Linked DNA regions of Danio rerio. The protein of the gene in region 3 binds, or shares a complex with, the protein of the main gene of each other region. Links are inferred from orthologs where the notes say so. Each region holds a gene or a part of one and is shown on either strand. Other genes may lie near its edges.

Region 1 (7,491 bases), about 16 Mb from region 3:
ATTGTTTCACATTATGTATATATATGGCAACGATTTCTGGAAGTTTTTAAGAATATCTTGGACAATAACACTGCTCTATGTTGTATATCGCACTCAAAGAGACATCAATAATCAGCGGATGAACCTCAATAATGGTGACGACTAACAAAATTAACAGTTTAACTCACAAACAGGCAACTGAAAGTCTAAACATAAACAACAGCAGAATCAAACACAAGTAAAGAAAACTCTTAGACCACTATACAACATTTTTTTATACCGCAATGCATGCTGGGATATTTGTACCGTGCCACTCCCAGCATGCATTGCAGCATGAAACATTTGAGATGTTACCATTGTTGAGATACAAGGTCAGATCCATGAGGTCTGAGTGTGTATTTGTCATAACTGAATTGTATTTGTATGTTATTTCTTAACTGTTAAGTAATTACTGAGGTATCTTTCTGTTTTCACTTCTCATTAATTTAATTAATACCTGCAACTAAACATAAAATCTATTGCATGAAGCCCTTCTTCCAGATTTATACCAAAACATTTATCAGAACTAATTTAAGACAAATATATTTCTCTATTTATTGACTTTCCAACTTGACTGCTATAATACAAGCATTTTGTTAACTCTTTATTATAGTGATTGGAGAGTCTGAATTAATCAGTTCAAGGGTGAAGAGCCCAACTAAACCAGCCCCTCACTCCATTACGGTGACACAAAAAACACCTTAATTTCTGTTGGATCTCAATGTGAATAGTATGGAAGTCAAATCAGTCAGTAATAAGTGTGTGTCTGCTGTTGTTTGTGGAGTTGTTTAATGATCCTCTGCTGAGACTGAAGCTGTTTTATTTTATTTGATTTTATTTAATGTTGTAACTCAAGTCACTGTTTGTGTTTCTTGTTTATTTTCTTCAGTAATTGTAATTATTAACAGCAGGTGTTCATCAGTGTCTGAATTCACTCATTAGTGTTCATTAAAACTGTCAGGTGAACTATATTAGTTAACTAGTGTATGAAATAGTGAACAAGGACACAAAGTGTGATTTCAAACACAGACTTTAAAACATCGAATCTGAACTCTGTTAGCTCACAGTTTTCTGCAGTTGGTTACTTTCTCGAAAACAAAAATGTTACCCAGAAAGCATTGTTTTTAACAGAATATTACTGTTTTAGTGAAAAAACATTATTTTACCGTAGAATCTGACCGTTTTTTAACAGCAATTTTTTACAGTGTAGTTATTAAAGCTATTATGTTTAGAAATGTGTTGAAAAAAAATCTCTCTGTTAAACAGAAATTGGGGAAAAATAAACAGAGGGGCGAATAATTCAGGGAGGCTAATAATTCTGACTTCAACTATATATAAAAAAATAATAAAAATAAAACAAATTTAAAAAGTGGCACACGAGTCACAAGCACCTTGTATCTGGGACTGGCGCAGCTCAAGTGAGACATGTTATCTCCCCTCTTTGCCTTCTTGGTGGCTGCAGCCAGTCAATATAGCTCAGCTTATTGTAATAGAAATTAGCTACGCAGATTGGAATCAGGTGGCACCAATCTGCAAACAAAAGAAATCAGGAAACAGAGAAAAAAAACTGCAATATAGAAACAAAAATAAAACAATCACATGTAACATTATCTTAATGTAATCGATATCAATTGTCATTTACGGACTTGTAATGGACAGTAAGGAAGACGCCTTCCTAATCAACAACATCCTTATGCCTGGAAAATTTTTCATACATAAATCAAAATATTTGAAGGTGAAACTAATGTTTTGTGCTTTTTATAATGAGATTCTTTCATATATAAAATCCCTTAAAGATCCTGAGGTGTGGAATCTGAAGCATCCATAATGCATCCACAAACATACAGTGAAAAAACAAATGATCTGTTGTTTCAATATCATCACAAAACACACATTTATTAGACTCAAATCCAAATCTAATTCCTAAATATTTACTTGACAGATTCATCCCACTTAAAACTTTAAAATGAACTTTTTTAGTTATTGGAGACAGAGGAAACTTTAAATATTTAAATATTTAATTTTAAGTACGTGAATGGTATCTTTTTAGATAATTTATGTGAAGTTGAGTTTTTTTTATAATTATTATTTTTTCCTTAATTATGTCTAAATAAGGAAATACTTTCTTACTCTACTCTTGTAACCCCAACTGTGCCTCGTGTGTTAACTGAAGTCTGTGATTTCAAAGAAAGAAATCTATGTAAAAACCAATGATTGGTAACAACATTTTATATCCTATAAAATGGATATAAAATGTTGTTACATAGATTTCTTTCTTTGAAATCACAGACTTCAATTAACACAGGAGGCACAGTTGGGGTTATAAGGGTAGAGTAAGAAAGTATTTCCTTAATTAGACAGACAAATGAGATAGAAATGGCTTTAAAGATTTAAACTTTACTGAATTAGAAATTATATTTAGTACAAACATTTTCATATGAAGTAATACCTTTATTGCTGTCAATTAATTGGGATACTGACAAATCTCTTTTCCCATCCATTCCTTGTCAAACAATGTTTTGTTTTTAATAGTGTTCACTTCATTTTATGACCATTTTCAGCCTACAGATATGCACCTTATTGTTGGAAGAAATTGTCTAGCTATAAAAAAAACTAGAATTAAAAATGTTTAACTGGTTTTGTTTTGATTTAGATTTTTTTATTCAGAGAGCTTATATTAGCTATAACAGAGTTTGGTTGTCTATTAGTAGGCTACATTTGCAAATTTTAAGTCTTATAAGTCTGTCAGTCACCCTACTTTTTGAGTACATACTTGAAAATGATACATGGTAGTAGCCTATGTATGTAGCTATAGTTTGTCAAGATAAATTCAGATCTAGATACTTTTTGTACTGAAAAACAAAAAAAGTTTTTTGTATAATAATTAAAGCTGTAAATCATACTTAAGATTACCCTTAAGTGTTTGAAGCCAATATCTATTTGAGCCACTTCATAGATATATATTCCATACATATATAATACACTCCATATGTGTGTGTATATATATATAATAAGATATCTATGGAGTCACTCAATGTTTATTTACGTTTTTGTTTTTACTCCAACATTAAAAAATAGTGGTCAAAATTTTAAAATTGATTTTTAAATATATGAAAACTTAAAAAAACATTTTTTTTAGTAAATCTTGGCTGACTGCGACATGTATTAGTAGCCTGTTTTTTTTTTTTCAAACAGGCAATATGCTTGGCGAACGCTGATGACGTCACCAACGTACGACCTACGTTGAGCTGTGCGAGGACCTCGCGGTGCATGGTTTGAAACAGTACGAGGGATCATTTTGTAACAATAAAATCACACCGGGATTAAAAACAAGACTCGCACACAGGTATAACACTGTTATAATACGCACTATATTTACGACGGAAATAATTATTTACACGAAGCAATTATTCATTCATTCGCTGTCGTACGTTTGCTGCGCGATCAGTTGCAATATCGGCTTTACTTGAGGCAGTTTCACAAGGGAATCTTTTATATTTATTGCGATTTTCAGTATGTTATGAGGTAATTTTATTCACTTTAATGTTTGCTGTGTTTATTGGGCTCTTAAAGATACATGTTCGACACTACAGCATTTTATTGAGGTAAAGTTTTTGCTCATTGACAACTTGTGTCACGTTCCCTTTGGTGTTTACATTGAGGTAAAGTTGGTTTTATATTCGGACTTTCCCTTTAATAATAGCTATAATTTAAAAAGATATGATTCTCTGCAAGTAGTGAACTCATATTAGCAGCCATAGACTTTCAAAGTACAACATTGTTCACAGAGTTAATAGAATTAAATTGTGCTAACGCTGTTTTGAAGTTAAACTTACTTTCTATTTCAGGCTGAATATTCAAAGTACAATATAGAGAAGGTATTAATTTAACGTTACCAGTTTCTATCCAAAACGCAAAACTAACTAGCACATTGGTTGGATGCAAATTAAGGTAAACTTGGTTATATTAGCACATTCATTCAGTGACAACTTGTGACATGTTTCTTATATTGTTTACAAGGCTACTTTCAATATTTGGTTTGAAATCACATACAAGTATGACTTCAAAACAACATTAGCACTGTTTGATTGACTGAACAATGTTGTACTTTCATAGTCACTGGCTGCTAATATGATTACCCCGTTTATAATTTGCAAAGAATACTTTTCTGAGATGATATTATCAATGAGAATGTGTGAATAGAAAACCAACTTTACCTCAATGTTACTTTTAATATTCAGTCTGAAATTGCTTCCAAGTATGAATTCAAAACTGTGAAGACTTTGACTGTGAGCAATGTTGTACTTTGATAGTCATCGGTAGCTAATATGAATTTCTTATTTAGAATTTGTAAAGAATACTTTACTGAAATTATATTATTAAGAAAAAAGTCTGAATGTTCGAATATTAAGATAAAAGTTTTAAGCAGAGTTTAATTAAGTTTAATTATTCAAAAACATTTACAGTGATTCGGACTATTAGGGAATAAACCTTAGTGTGTCACCTTTCAAAAGAGACCAAAACAATGCATAGTTACCTCATAGAATAAAATTGACTTCTAATGTATTTATCCCTTTTTCGTATAAAATAAAAAAAACAGATTTTTAAAAATACGGTTTCATTAAGCTGCAGTCTGGAGTAGGCATGAGACGATAACCATTTTTTAAGCTATACCGCGGTTTAGAAAAGTCAAGGTTTTAAAACCGTCAATTTTCTGCTATATTGTTCCTAGGGTATGAGTAAGATTTTTTAATTTACTTTTTTCTTAGTTTTTTTTTAGGACAGCAGAAAAGATATTCAAAGATTGCGTTTTAAATTTTTTACAAATCTGTATTTTTGAAACAAATGAAGGAAGCAGAAGTCAATAATTCATTTGAATTATTTAGCCTGACATGTTTACTGCTCCAAAATATTATGAATGTTTCCCAAATAAAATATATTGTGTACAAAGGGGAAAACGTTTTTATTTTTTTACCCAGACATTTAAAAGGAATATATTTCAGAGCAGTAATCGCAATACCTAAAACCGTGATATTTATATCCAAGATTATCATAGTATCAGAATCTTATACCAGCCCATGCCAAATCCGGGGTTTTAAAACATTTAACATCAAATAAATACTCTAAATATAGAAAAATCCTGCAATGTTTTAAACAAAAACCTTTATTTGTTTTTAGAAAGACACCCACAAATAAACTTTTTTTACAAGGGGTGAGTTAGTCAGCTAAAGTTAGTTGTAACATTTGTGATTTTTAAATATTTTAACAATCAATAATTTTACAATCGAATTTGTCACCTGACAAAGACCAATACTAAAAATGGTTAAAAATAGCATGCAATTTACTTTGGGTATGCATTTTGTTAGGCATTTAAGCAAATTTTACAGAAACGCTAAGAATTTAAACCAATTTTACCTCAATCAGCATTTTGTGCAGTAATACTAAAAGTGTTACAGTAACGTTTTTCCCAACACTAGAAAATAAAACAGACAGAATAATGAACCACTGCTGCATTTTAAATGAGTTGATCTGCATTCCGAATAGTTCCTCTGCACCAAAGTAAGTTATGTCATTTGTATCTGTTTTGTCCTATCAGAGCTCGTCGCCATGGAGACTGATCTTTATGACGAGTTTGGAAATTATATCGGACCAGAGCTGGACTCTGATGAGGATGAAGAGCTAGATGCAGAGGACCGGGATGCTGATGAGGTGATTGTATAACCTGTAATCATATTCAAACTGCCAAACCGTTGCTAGTTGGAGCATTTGTGCCATTTAAGTGCAGTTTCATTAACCCTATTACATTAACCCTTAATTGCCTGCTCAAATCGTTGACCAGCTTTTGACTTTTAAATAATGACTTTTAAAGTCATTTTAAGAATGACTGTTTTAATAATGGTTTACACGACACAGCATTGTTGGTTTATAAAATAATCAAACAAATGTAATCCTGTTTTGTTACTACACTCAATTTTGGTTTTATTGATATATATATACACACACACACACACACATATATACATACATATCTATATATATATATATATATATATATATATATATATATATATATACATATATATATACATACATACATACATACATACATACATACATACATGCATACATACATATATATATATATATATATATATATATATATATATATATATATATATAAGAAAACATGTTAAATGAGAATCTGAAATATTTTTTGGCATACTTCAAAAAATAAAGATGATATAGTATTCAAAAACAATTTATTTTGAATATTTTTTTTAAATAAATATGTCTTACACTTCATATTTTCAGATTTTTCATTGGATATGTATTAATTCCGGTAATTTTTCCATAAACGGACACATCAACCTCTACCAAATGGTTGATATTTTGTCGCATGTTGAAAAAAAATTCATTGGATGTGTTGACTAGTGACATTATGAGTTAAGAAATGCTATCCATAGTATTTTTTTCTTGGTGGAGCAGTTAAAGGGTTAATATACCATATTCCTAAATTATACGTATATTAATATACAGAACTCATTTAAATGAGGACAAAAGTAGCAGGTCAAATCGCCAGGGCTCTGATTTATCAAATTTGCATAGACAAGTTCTTAGTAAGGAACATACATCAGAATAAAGTAATTTATTTATTGATGATTAGCTCATTTAAAGTGGTTTAAATCAATATTTAAATTAAATATGTTTGCTTAGAGATTAATTACAGCTGTGGACACTCTCCTCTCAAGCTTATAGATCACAACCTTTGAGTGGCTAACGCATATTTCTGCCCATTTTGTGCATATGCCATGTTCATCAATGAGACCCCAGAAGAGCAGTTACACATAAAGCCTAATTACACAATTAGGATCAAAGCCTAAAAGGGGTCATTTCAAAAAGTTATGAAGCGTTATTTGTGGAATATTTTTTTTTATAATTATTACGTTTTTTTTCTATGTTTTGGGGGGAGGGGAGCACTGGGAGCAGAGAGAGGGGAAGTATGGGCATAGGACCTCAAGCCGGGAATCGAACTCGGGTCGCCCTGAGCACTATGGTGCTATATGTCAGAGACTTATTTTACATCTAGTAAAAATGAGCATAATAGGCCCCCTTTAAATTGTTCAGCTGAAGCGTGTAGAGTCAGTGGTTGTTTTTATGCAAAAATCAGCTCCTTGAATTTGATGTACATTTTCTTAAAACAGGCGGATGAGGAGGATGACGATGATGACCAGGCTGAGGCTGATGAGGATGGAGGAGGTGGTGGTATGGAGGTGGTTCTGCATGAGGATAAAAAGTATTATCCCACTGCTGAAGAAGTGTATGGTCCTGAGGTGGAAACTATTGTTCAAGAAGAAGATACACAGCCGCTGACAGGTAACAGACACGCTGGTGGAAGAACAGTTTGTTTATCGCATGCACACTCAGTGGAAAATCAATGTATCTGACTTAATTGTTCCTCAGAGCCCATTATAA
Region 2 (7,491 bases), on a different chromosome or scaffold from region 3:
GTGTGTGAATTTGTGTGTGGATGTTTCCCAGAGATGGGTTGCGGCTGGAAGGGCATCCACTGCGTAAAAACTTGCTGGATAAGTTGGTGGTTCATTCCGCTGTGGCTACCCCGGATTAATAAAGGGACTAAGCCGACAAGAAAATGAATGAATGAATTTGAGTGATTGGTCAGTGAGATTATTCATCCTTATTGTCCACTTGTTCACTTCGGTTCATTCTGAAACTGATTCTGTGCAGTAATAATTATAAACAATATAGTACAAATAAAATATACAATTTTATATAACATGGGTTTTATCAAGATGGATGCATTCATTTAAACCTAAATATTCATTCATTCATTTTCCTTGGGCTTAGTCTGATTTATCAGAGGTGACCACAGCAGATTGAACCAACAACTAATCTGCAATATGTTTCATGCAGCTGATGCCTTTCCAACCACAAATCAGGGAAACACCCCCACACACTCACATTCACACACACACACACACACACACACACACACACACACACACACACACACACACACACACACACACTCATACACTACAGCCAATGGTAATCAAATTCACCTGTAGCCCATGTCTTTGGACTGTGGGAGAAACCAGAGCACCTGGAGGAAACCCCCGCCAACAAGAGAACATGCAATCTCCACACAAAAATGCTAACTGGCCACTGTGCCACCAAAATTAGATGTAGATAAGCATGCGTTGGCCAAAATTATGATTTTTTTTTTTTTTCATTTTTAATATTACTGACAGAAAAAAATGTGTATCTAAGGGTCCTTGAAATATTTATGCCAAACAGTAAAACAATGTCATTTTTAAGTTATTTCTTATAATATTGTTATATATGTTATCTGCCATTGCAGTGCCATTAAAGTATATGCTTCATATGCAAGCTCAGTAAGCCCTTTTAAAGTATGAGAAATGCAATTACATACCAATAATAAACCTTTCAAGGCCCAAGGTGTTTTTTTTACATGCATTTTTTATTTCTCTTTGCTATTTTGGCATATAGGAACATAATTATTATCTTTTGATATGGTGTACTTTTAGATAAAAATGATGTCCATATATGTGGACTCGTGGTCTGAATTTACAAAAAACACTTTTTCCTGAATGTTTTTAATGCATATATAACATATACATTTTTTCCCCATTTTGGACAGTTAAAAATAGTGTTTGGGACATTTCATATGCTGCAAAACAGTTGCAGGATGACACTGTCTGTGACAAAATATAAAACATTCAAAGTATTTTAAATAGCCACTTAAGGGCTAAAATGTACTGTCCACGTATGTGGCCACTAAGTCCTAGGAGATTAATGCTAAACAATTACTTGAAAAAAGAAACTACTTACTTCAAAAAGAAACTACTCGATCAGCCTGTTTTCTACACCCCATGACTCCTGAGCAAATTATGGGATTAACTTTTGTTAAACTCAAACAGAGAAAGGTTGGCAATCAAGTTTTTTTCATAAACAACAACAACAAGGTAACATTATTTTGCTTATTCTTGAACTAGCAGTTATTAAAAGACAGGAAAGAAGACAGACATTTTGCATATCACTGTTGCCTTTAAGATTTTACAATTATCGATGAGGGGACATTCTAAAATGCTTAGCATGAAAAAAGCTTAATGTACATCAACAAGAGAAACCCAATTTTTTGTCAAACTTTACTTGTAATTAACCCTAACTTCTATAAAAAGAACAAGTCCCAAGCAAAATAGTCTGCCAATGGGGTAAAAAAAAATCTTATGTCAAAAGGAGAAACAAGATTATTTTGCTCACCCCATCGGCAGATTATTTAGCTTGTTTTAAGGAAAAAATCACTTAATATTGGCATATTATTTCTCAAAACAAGACAATATGTTTTGCTTACCTAGAAAATGCTTCTTGATATAAGAGTAATTTTTTGATATTTGGACTAGAAACATGCCAAAAAAAAAATCCTAGAAAATAAATTATGCAGTGTAAATCCTAGTTTGGAACATTTGTGTTATTTTATATGGCCACAAAGGGAAATCAATATTTCACAATAGTATATTGCTTACATAAGAGTCACATGTCATTATACCTCAAAATAATCTGTCTTTATTAGTAAGATAACATTTTGGGGCTAATTTTATGATGAAAGCTCTGTAAGTTAAATTGTTGTGTGCAATTAAATTAAATCAGAGGCCTGCTGTGCTGATGGGGTATATGTACACTGACTTTTAATTTTAGTAAGGCAGCCCCAGGGCTTTCAGTGTCTTTCTGTTATAAAATTGCCACATTTAAGGTCTGATTTCTTTGAAAATTAGTGATCTTTACTGCGTGTTAGATATTCGATATGTGGGTTTCAGACCGGACAAGAATCACTGATTTAAATGACATTTCCCCCAACATGTTTACCCCAGTATTTTCTGGTATGAAGTTTCTGCAGCCTGCTGATCTTGACGGCGCTATCTGTACACGGTCTTTTATCTTGTTACTCTTGAACAACTGAATGAATGCTTAAGTCTATTTAACTGAAAGTGTTATTACATTACAACATCGATGCTGTGAAAGGAACCTTATGAAACTGAAAATAGTCACATTAAGCTTTCACCGGATGTTTATCTTTGGCTGAAAAACCCTATTGATTAAACATCTTGGTTGATTGGTTTGATAAATGTTAGAATTTTCCATGATATTTCTAATAAAGCTTTTCAACAAAGAATTGTTTATTTTGATAAATCATTTCTGTCAAATATGATGCTATAGCCTATTTTTATGAAGACATTAAGTTAATCATCACATCTAGTTTTCTCTTTGTTTCCTTTAGAGCCTGTTTAAGGTACAAAATAACAAAAATGCAGTAAATATTGCTGAAATTTTTGCTAATTCAACCATTTAAGCCTCTAAACTGAGGAAAATGTAGGCTATAATTCAATCAAACTGACAGAAACTATTAATTTTTAGCAGTGTTGTAAGCATGATTCGTTCGTTTGTTTGTTTGTTTATTTGTTTTTTGTTCATTTTTTTTATTATTTACCACTGTTTTAATGATTTAGCGAAATAATTTAGCTACTTTGCAATTAGCATGGTTTTACTACAAAAACGCCGTATGGACAGTCAGTCAAATACACATCCCACAATCCTTTTGTCTAAACCGGAAGACAATGGCACCACGTGTGGACTGCGAAAAAGAAACTATTTCCGGAGTGACTTCGATTCACCAAAATGAAGTAAGTGATGAGTTAAATGTTTGCGTTTGATTAAAATATTTTCAATACATTTGTTATACCGTGTTTCTTGTACGTTTGAGAATTTAATTAGACTATTCAGTCATGGAATGAAATGTCGATACAGCCAGAAGCCTCTGGTTTGCAGCAACAGCTAAAGCTAGCATAAATATAAACGAAAACTGTTACATTAAACATTAACATTCAGTTACATGTGTTTTACTGGAATAATAATATAATTAAAATATTTTTTATAATAGAAATGTTTTGTCGTGGAACGTTGTTCAATTGTTATTTACTTGTTATTGAGAAATCATTTTTAGTTTTATCAACTCATTAAAGTATATCTTTTTTCATAAGCTTACAACTGGTCAGAATAATAATCATTTTACTTTGTTGTGATATAAAGTCAATTTTTGTCTACTAAATTCAGATTTCTTAACTCGTCGTTATTTAAAACATTGGTATTGTGTTGTCTAAAAATGAATATAAACATGTATGATTCCTTTACGAAAACGATAATCTTTTGTGACCAATTATCAGTTTACATTGTATGTTGAATATAGAAGAAATGTTATCAGTGGGACAAAACTATTGACTTGCATAACAAAACCATATACATCAATGTTTATTGTGTTGACATCTTTAATTTTTAAAGATTTTAGGCTGTAAAAAGTGTCAAAGTCATAATGAATCTTGAATAGGGGTTCACGACATTGGGTAAAAAAAATGACATTGCGGTTTTTAGTTTTCTGCAATATACATTGCGATATAAATATGATTTCACAAAAGATTACCTAAATAACTCTGTGTAAACAATTCAAATATTTGCATGAAACATTATAAACAATTTGTAAGCATAGATAAATGCAGTAGAATGTGTTTGTTTGTTTTGTGTTTTATGGTTTTCTGTGGAGTCTAAGAATATTAAACTAACATTAATCAAATAACATTATATTGTATTAATTGTAGTAACTAGAAACAATTTTATTCTTTGTTAAATCTCTAAACTATAAAACTAAAATTTCTTGGTTTACTTTCACTTGTCACAGTTCCTTAAAACGCATCCAAATGAAAATCTTTCACTCTGTTAGGATTCAAATTTGCGATGACTCCAAAAATTATGTTCTGAAATGTAATTCCTGGTCATTGTAATCACAACTCAACACTGCGGATGCTGCAGTGTGACTATTGCATATTTGTACATTGCGATATCGATGTTAAAGCAATATATTGTGCAGCCCTAATCCTGAATATACTGCATTTTCTCATATTTTGGTTTAGTCACCATAACAGAATAATAAACAAAATGACATATTGTGGCCCACAAAATGAATGAACAAGCAAACATATATTCATTATCTGTCTTTTTTTCTGTTTTTTTTTTTTCTTCATTAAATGTAGTCCACTGACCAAAGTGAAGCTGATCAATGAACTGAATGAAAGAGAAGCTCAGCTGGGCATCAAAGAGACTGTGTCCTGGCATTCAGTCTATAAAAACAGCGCCTGGGTCTTCATCGGTGAGGAAATGATGAACATTATTACATAGTTACATTATGGCTGTGGACCAAAAGATAGATCAATCTGTCACAGCACTTCGGCAATCATTATTATAGACCAGTGGTGCCCAAACTCGGTCCTGGAGGGCCGGAGTCCTGGAGAATTAAGCTCCAACCCTAGTTAAACTTGACTGAACAAGCTAATCAAGCTTTAAATAGCATACTAGAAACTTTTAGGCAAGTGTGTTGAAGCAAGTTGGAGCTAAACTCTGCAGGACACCGGCCCTCCAGGACTGAGTTTTGGGCATGCCTGTTATGGAAGCTAAGATGCTGTCTGGATGGACTATATTTACATTCTGCCAGATGGTGGCAGCATTCATCTGTTTAACTAAATGTGTGTTTTTGTAGACAATGGCATGATTTTAGTCCTCCAGAAACCCACACTGGTACACAGTGATCTGACCTTGTACAATTTCAAAGTGATTTACATTTATTGTTGTATTTTTTATGTTGCATTCATTTACTAGACAGAACATTGCAATTCAAACCATGAAGTCAGAATTATTCGCCCTCCTGTGAATGTGTGTTTTTTTCTTTTTCAAACATTTTCCAAATGATGTTTAACAGAGAAATACACTTTTCACAGTATTTCTGACTATTTTCTTCTGGAGAAACTTTGATGTCTTTAATCTTTTCTAGAATAAAAGCAGTTTTAAATTATTTTTTAAAACCATTTAAGGGGCAATATTATTAGCCCCCTTAAGCAATATTTTTTTTCGATGGTCTACAGAACAAATCTTTTTTATACAATGATTTGCCTTAAAACCCTAACTGGCCTAGTTGATCTAATTACCCTAGTTAAGTCTTTAATTTGCTCTTTAAGGTGAATGCTAGTATCCTGAAAAATATCTAGTAAAATATTATGTACTGCCGTCATGACAAAGATAAAAGAAATCAGTTATTAGAAATGAGTTATTAAAACTATGTTTCGAAATGTGTTGAAAAATCTTTCCATTAAACAGAAATTGGGGGGGAAAATGTACAGCTATTAATTCAGGATGTCTAAAAATTTTGACTTGTATGTATGTATGTATGTATGTATGTATGTATGTATGTGTGTGTGTGTGTGTGTGTGTGTGTGTGTGTGTGTGTGTGTGTTTGTGTATATATATATTTATATAAATATGTATATATATATATATGTGTGCGTGCGTGTGCGTGCGTGTGTGTGTGTGTATTTATTTTAAGTAATGTAAATATGTATATTAATATCAATCTGCAGGTGGATTTCCATATGAGCTGACAGAAGGAGACATCATCTGTGTTTTCTCTCAGTAAGCCAGAGTGTTCATTTTAAACATGTCTTTTTGTGCTAAAGACGTCAGTATTTATTTTCTTTGCTAGTAAAGCTTAATCCTCCTCTGTGAATGTCAGGTATGGAGAGATTGCCAACATCAACTTGGTTCGAGATAAAAAGACTGGCAAATCCAAAGGATTCTGTTTCCTGTGCTATGAAGATCAGAGGAGCACTATTCTGGCTGTCGATAACTTTAACGGAATCAAGGTGAAACGCTTTTCTAGTGTCTTTTTAGTGATGTGGTCTTTTTCAACCTGAATTGTATTTTATTCAGATGCAGAAGAGTTCAGATGCAAAAACCTCTAAGTGCCATCTGAAACGTTCTCCTAAAATGAGCATTTATCTCAGCTTCCTATGTTTATGTTCATATATTTAACTTCAAAGTCAATGAAAATAACTTATTCGTCACTATTTTATCACTCATTTTAGAAGAAAATATCAAATGGCTTTTTGCATCTAAACTTTTCACATATACATATATACACACACACACACACACACACACACACACACACATATATATACACATGTGTGTGTGTGTGTGTGTGTCAGTTCAATAAAAAAGTGGCAGTTTATTTATTTAATACCTGGAAACAAAAAATGCACTTGACTATAGAAAGTGCTTTTTACTACAGTGAACAGGTGGGTTGAGCCTATTTGCCTTATTCAGAACTCAAATGGCTATGCCTGTCTATGGAATACTAGTATACAACCCATATTAGACACTATTAAATTACTACTTATGAATGTAATATTAGGCTTTATATTATATTTATAATATTTATATTTATAATAGATTTTTTTTTCACCATATAAGGAGGTAAGCCCCCCTAAAATGAAAATCCTAAAATCACCCCTAATGGCGGACTTTGTAAGTGGAAAAACTGAAGGCTTCACTAGAAAGAAAACAGTTAAACAGAGCATCTACAGCGCCAGAATGAGAGATGAGCCTCCTCATTGTTTACTTTCTCTTTCACTCTCATGGATAGGGAAAAATGTTGTACGCACAGATTTCCATTGCCCTATACATAATTAATTTTGTTTGTTAAGCACAAAGAGTTGTTTCAAAACTACTTCTAAATTCAATTCTAATTTCCAGCAAACGAATAAATGAACAGTAATAATAAAGTGTGGTCAAAAAACTGAGTTATATCCAAATACACATGCTGTGCCCAATATGGTCTAAAACCTGACAGGTGAACAAATCTAAGCTTGTTTTTAGTAAAACAAATTTAAATATGCATATAATAAATACTACTACTATTAATAATAACATTATACAAAAGCAAATTGTTATGAATAAACTGAAAAAGCCCCCGAGATAAAGAAGAATGAAAGTATGTTTTTTATATTTATGTAGGCTAGAAAATAATAATTTTTGTAATATTTTAATCCTTTATTTTTTTTATTTGTGAAGATATTTGC
Region 3 (3,582 bases):
AAAAATAAAGCAAAGCTCAGTCGTGGTTACGGTCAGCTCTGCTAATTCACCAACTCTCTCATGATGATCATATCCGAGATCGCCTACATTTCCACGGACGGCCTCCTGCAGTCAATTACCTCAGTTTTTCATTCGGCTCCAACGAAATCTCCGATTTTCGGGCCAAAATCCTCTTGCGTGTTTCTGTGGAAGACCTTCGTGCATGAATTTCTTTAATTCACTCGGTATTTTTGTGTGTATTTCGGTCCACACAATACCCAACGTGTGTTCTCACCCAGTTGAACGAGTCGTTCCTTTCTTAAAATGGCGCGAGGCCGTAAACCGCTGCGGTGTTTCACGACACATTTACGTCTAGTGGTACATTCACGATAGGGGCGTGGCCAGTGTGGAATTTGTACTGTAAAATATTATTTATTGTTATACAGTGTCACAAAACTTATGCTATGTTGATGTACGTATCCACAGTATCCTAACTAGACTTTACCTTTATAATGGGAAAAAATTCACTCTAAATCATAATTTTACTTTAAGTACACCATAAAATACCTTAAAACGTCTTTATCCTTAATTTTGCTCAATGCATGCATCCAAATATTGTCTGAATATTGCTAGTTACTGATTAATAATAATAGTAAAGATATGTACATTATCAATTGTTAAATGGGAATATATTCATATCAAATACAACAGCAGTAAACCATTCCCATTCTACGTTTCTTCCCAAACACAAGAGGCGCTGTAACCAAAAAATGACTTCATCGTTTGTTTTTATACGTAGTTAAAGATGGCGGAGTCCGAGGAGCCGAAAAAACCCACCTGCACATTTATTTTTAAGAAATCAAACAAGAAATTTTCCGCACGGAAAAGAAATGCAAGTGACAGCGACAAAGGTACGTTGTGCTTCTTTCTTCAGTGTCTCAATCGACAGCGAGTTTGACTTGAGAAACTATAATCCCTACAACAAGCCGTCTGTTTAATTAATGTTTATGCTCAATACATGTCTGCAGTTCAGTGTTTTGTTTCTTTATCATCAGAAAAAAGCAGCGGCGATGAGGGCAGTGCAGTGGTCAGAAAGAAGAAATCTGCCGCTGTGAACCCCATGATTCAGAAAGTATGTCCGTATTTCATGTGTTTTATGTAACTAGCCGCTGTTAAACTGATGTCATCATTATTATATTTATTATTCGTTTTATAGACGAAGAAAGTGGAGAGGGAAGCTGTCTCATCGAGTGAAAGTGAAGAAGAGAAGGAAGAAAAGAGCGTGACTGTCGCTTACAAGTCCACTCGCTCAGCGGTGAGTCTGACTGACCCAACATTTGTACAGCTTCATGATTTATGCTACAGCAAATTATGAATATAAACGCTTGATGGTGCCTAATAATTCATGACCACGTATGACTTTACATTTCTATTAACGTCTGACAGTTTTTGCGCTGTCTCATTGAAACATTAAAGGCTGTAATTGAGTGTATTTGACTATGTGTTGCAGAAACCAGAGGGGCCGGATGACATGGGGGCCACTGCTGTCTATGAGCTGGACACAGAGAGGGACAAAGATGCTCAGGCCATCTTTGAGCGCAGTCAGAAAATCCAAGAGGTATGCGGGTGATTGGAAATAACTGGCTGCATCATTGTAAAGTCAGGTTTATGTATGTTATGTACAGATTCAAAGTACCTTTACAGTTCTAGATTTAGATAACATTAAACTCAGCATTTTCAATTGTATTTACACATATTTCAAGTAGACAACAGCTCTACAGAAGGTGATATAGTAGCGTGTCATGTCATGTCAGTTCAGTTATTTAGATACCTCACTCAGTGCTTTCAAGCACAGCAGAATCAATTCATTTTAGAAAATAAATAGCCTTTATAATAGGCCTGGGCGATTTGGCCTCAAATCTAAATCTTGATTAACTAAACATTTTAACCCGATTACAACTAATGATTGATTATTTCATTTGTTTTTGCCCTCATAGTTAACTGACAGGTTTCGTAAAGTGAGAGATGTTTGAAAAGGGTGCATTACTTGATTTTAAAATAATTGAAGGAAACGCAAACTATCTACTATCTATGATTATTTATTGAACATCAGCGTTGAACAACTGAAATGAAAACACACATTGCCTAAAACCAACAGTCTTCTTTTTTTCGTTGCTCTCCGCGCTGCCCACTCTTGTCATCACTATCAAGCTGACCAACCGCAGAGCTTGCGCTACGTATCGTCAAGTAGTGACATTTTTTGAGAGGTGCGCGTCAGCCACGGCGAGGAGTATGCGATTGCTCAAAGTCTGCGCTCAATGCAGAAGAATAAACCAGCATCTAAGGAGCGGGGTCATTTCATGTCATGATATTTGATTGTTGATATTGTTAAGATGGCCAGAATATACACAATCTCTTAATCATATGGCTGCGTGTTTGTGTGTAATTTATAGGAGCTGACTGGTAAAGAAGATGATAAGATTTATCGTGGGATCAACAACTATCACAAATTCATTAAACCCAAAGATTCCACTATGGGCAATGCCTCCTCTGGCATGGTCAGGTGAGTCAGTGTTGTTACGAGTTTTTCTTTCTCTTGTTTCCTCTCCCTCTTTCCTGCACTCTCTCGGTCTGAATTATTTCCAGGTGCAGCGGATTACGGCAGATTGTGATTGGTGCTTGGATTGGCGGCTGTATTTAAGAGGCCTTTGTTTATCTTCTGAACACAAATGAAAATGTTTTAGATTAAATCTGACATCTCTCTCATCCTCCATGGACAGTGAGATTTCAAAGATGTTCAAAAGTCCAGAAACCAAAAACATTGCATGGGACTTTAGTGTTCTGATGTGTAATCATGTAGAGCTCCCAAAACACTTGTAAAAAACTGTAAATACATGAAAGAATACTTTATTTTTTGTATACATGACAGGTCAGGGTGCGCGTTTACTAGGCATGGGCCGGTATAAGATTCTGACGGTATGATAACCTTGGATAAAAATATCAGAGTTTCACAGTATTGTGATTACTGCTCAAAAATATTCTTTTAAAATGTCTGGGTAAAAAAAAAACTATTATTGTTCCCATTGAACACAATATATTTTATTTTAAGAAGCATATTTTGGAACAGTAAACATGACAGGCTAAAGAATTTATTGAAGACAGCAGAAGTCAATAGTTTCGAAAACACATATTTCTTTAAAAAAAAATGAAAAAGACATTCATCTTTCTCTTCTTTGGATATAAAGTAAGCCACAGCACTGTTCAGGTCCAGAGCATGCCTGGATGTTTTGGTGCTTAAGCATTTTGTTTTTCAGATGTTCCCTAAACCATGGGCTGACCAGTAGCTGTTGCCCTAAAAAAACTAAATAAAATAAAAAAACATGTTGTAAAAAACATGTTTAAACAATGTACATATACCACAGTGTAACAGAAAATGTTAGCGGTTTTAAAACCCTGACTTTTCCAAACCGCAGGAAACCTTGAAAGTCACATGGATTGTTTTTGGATCCTTTTCTGGACTTTGAACGTCTCTTGTCTATGGAGGATGAGGGTGCTCTCAGATTTCATGTAAAATATCTTTATTTGTGTTCCGAAAATCAAACA

What was found.
Region 1: rnf113a (region 3) and eftud2 share a complex: the UniProt entries of both Homo sapiens proteins name them as parts of the minor spliceosome. The link is inferred for Danio rerio from reciprocal best matches to the Homo sapiens genes RNF113A and EFTUD2.
Region 2: rnf113a (region 3) and rbmx2 share a complex: the UniProt entries of both Homo sapiens proteins name them as parts of the minor spliceosome. The link is inferred for Danio rerio from reciprocal best matches to the Homo sapiens genes RNF113A and RBMX2.

Annotation. Positions count from the first base shown.
Region 1 is NC_133178.1:15,082,593-15,090,083, reverse strand, and holds the start of eftud2 (116 kDa U5 small nuclear ribonucleoprotein component), read left to right. Parts: upstream 1-3,263; 5' UTR 3,264-3,543; intron 3,544-3,571; exon of another isoform or gene 3,572-3,623; intron 3,624-5,614; 5' UTR 5,615-5,625; coding exon 5,626-5,727; intron 5,728-7,220; coding exon 7,221-7,392; intron 7,393-7,479; coding exon 7,480-7,491. UniProt on the Homo sapiens protein: Required for pre-mRNA splicing as component of the spliceosome, including pre-catalytic, catalytic and post-catalytic spliceosomal complexes. Component of the U5 snRNP and the U4/U6-U5 tri-snRNP complex, a building block of the spliceosome.
Region 2 is NC_133196.1:41,941,060-41,948,550, forward strand, and holds the start of rbmx2 (RNA-binding motif protein, X-linked 2), read left to right. Parts: upstream 1-3,161; 5' UTR 3,162-3,208; coding exon 3,209-3,213; intron 3,214-4,614; coding exon 4,615-4,730; intron 4,731-5,991; coding exon 5,992-6,043; intron 6,044-6,143; coding exon 6,144-6,273; intron 6,274-7,491. UniProt on the Homo sapiens protein: Involved in pre-mRNA splicing as component of the activated spliceosome. As a component of the minor spliceosome, involved in the splicing of U12-type introns in pre-mRNAs.
Region 3 is NC_133178.1:30,712,647-30,716,228, reverse strand, and holds the start of rnf113a (E3 ubiquitin-protein ligase RNF113A), read left to right. Parts: upstream 1-782; 5' UTR 783-784; coding exon 785-890; intron 891-1,034; coding exon 1,035-1,111; intron 1,112-1,195; coding exon 1,196-1,294; intron 1,295-1,489; coding exon 1,490-1,597; intron 1,598-2,432; coding exon 2,433-2,542; intron 2,543-3,582. UniProt on the Homo sapiens protein: Required for pre-mRNA splicing as component of the spliceosome. As a component of the minor spliceosome, involved in the splicing of U12-type introns in pre-mRNAs. E3 ubiquitin-protein ligase that catalyzes the transfer of ubiquitin onto target proteins.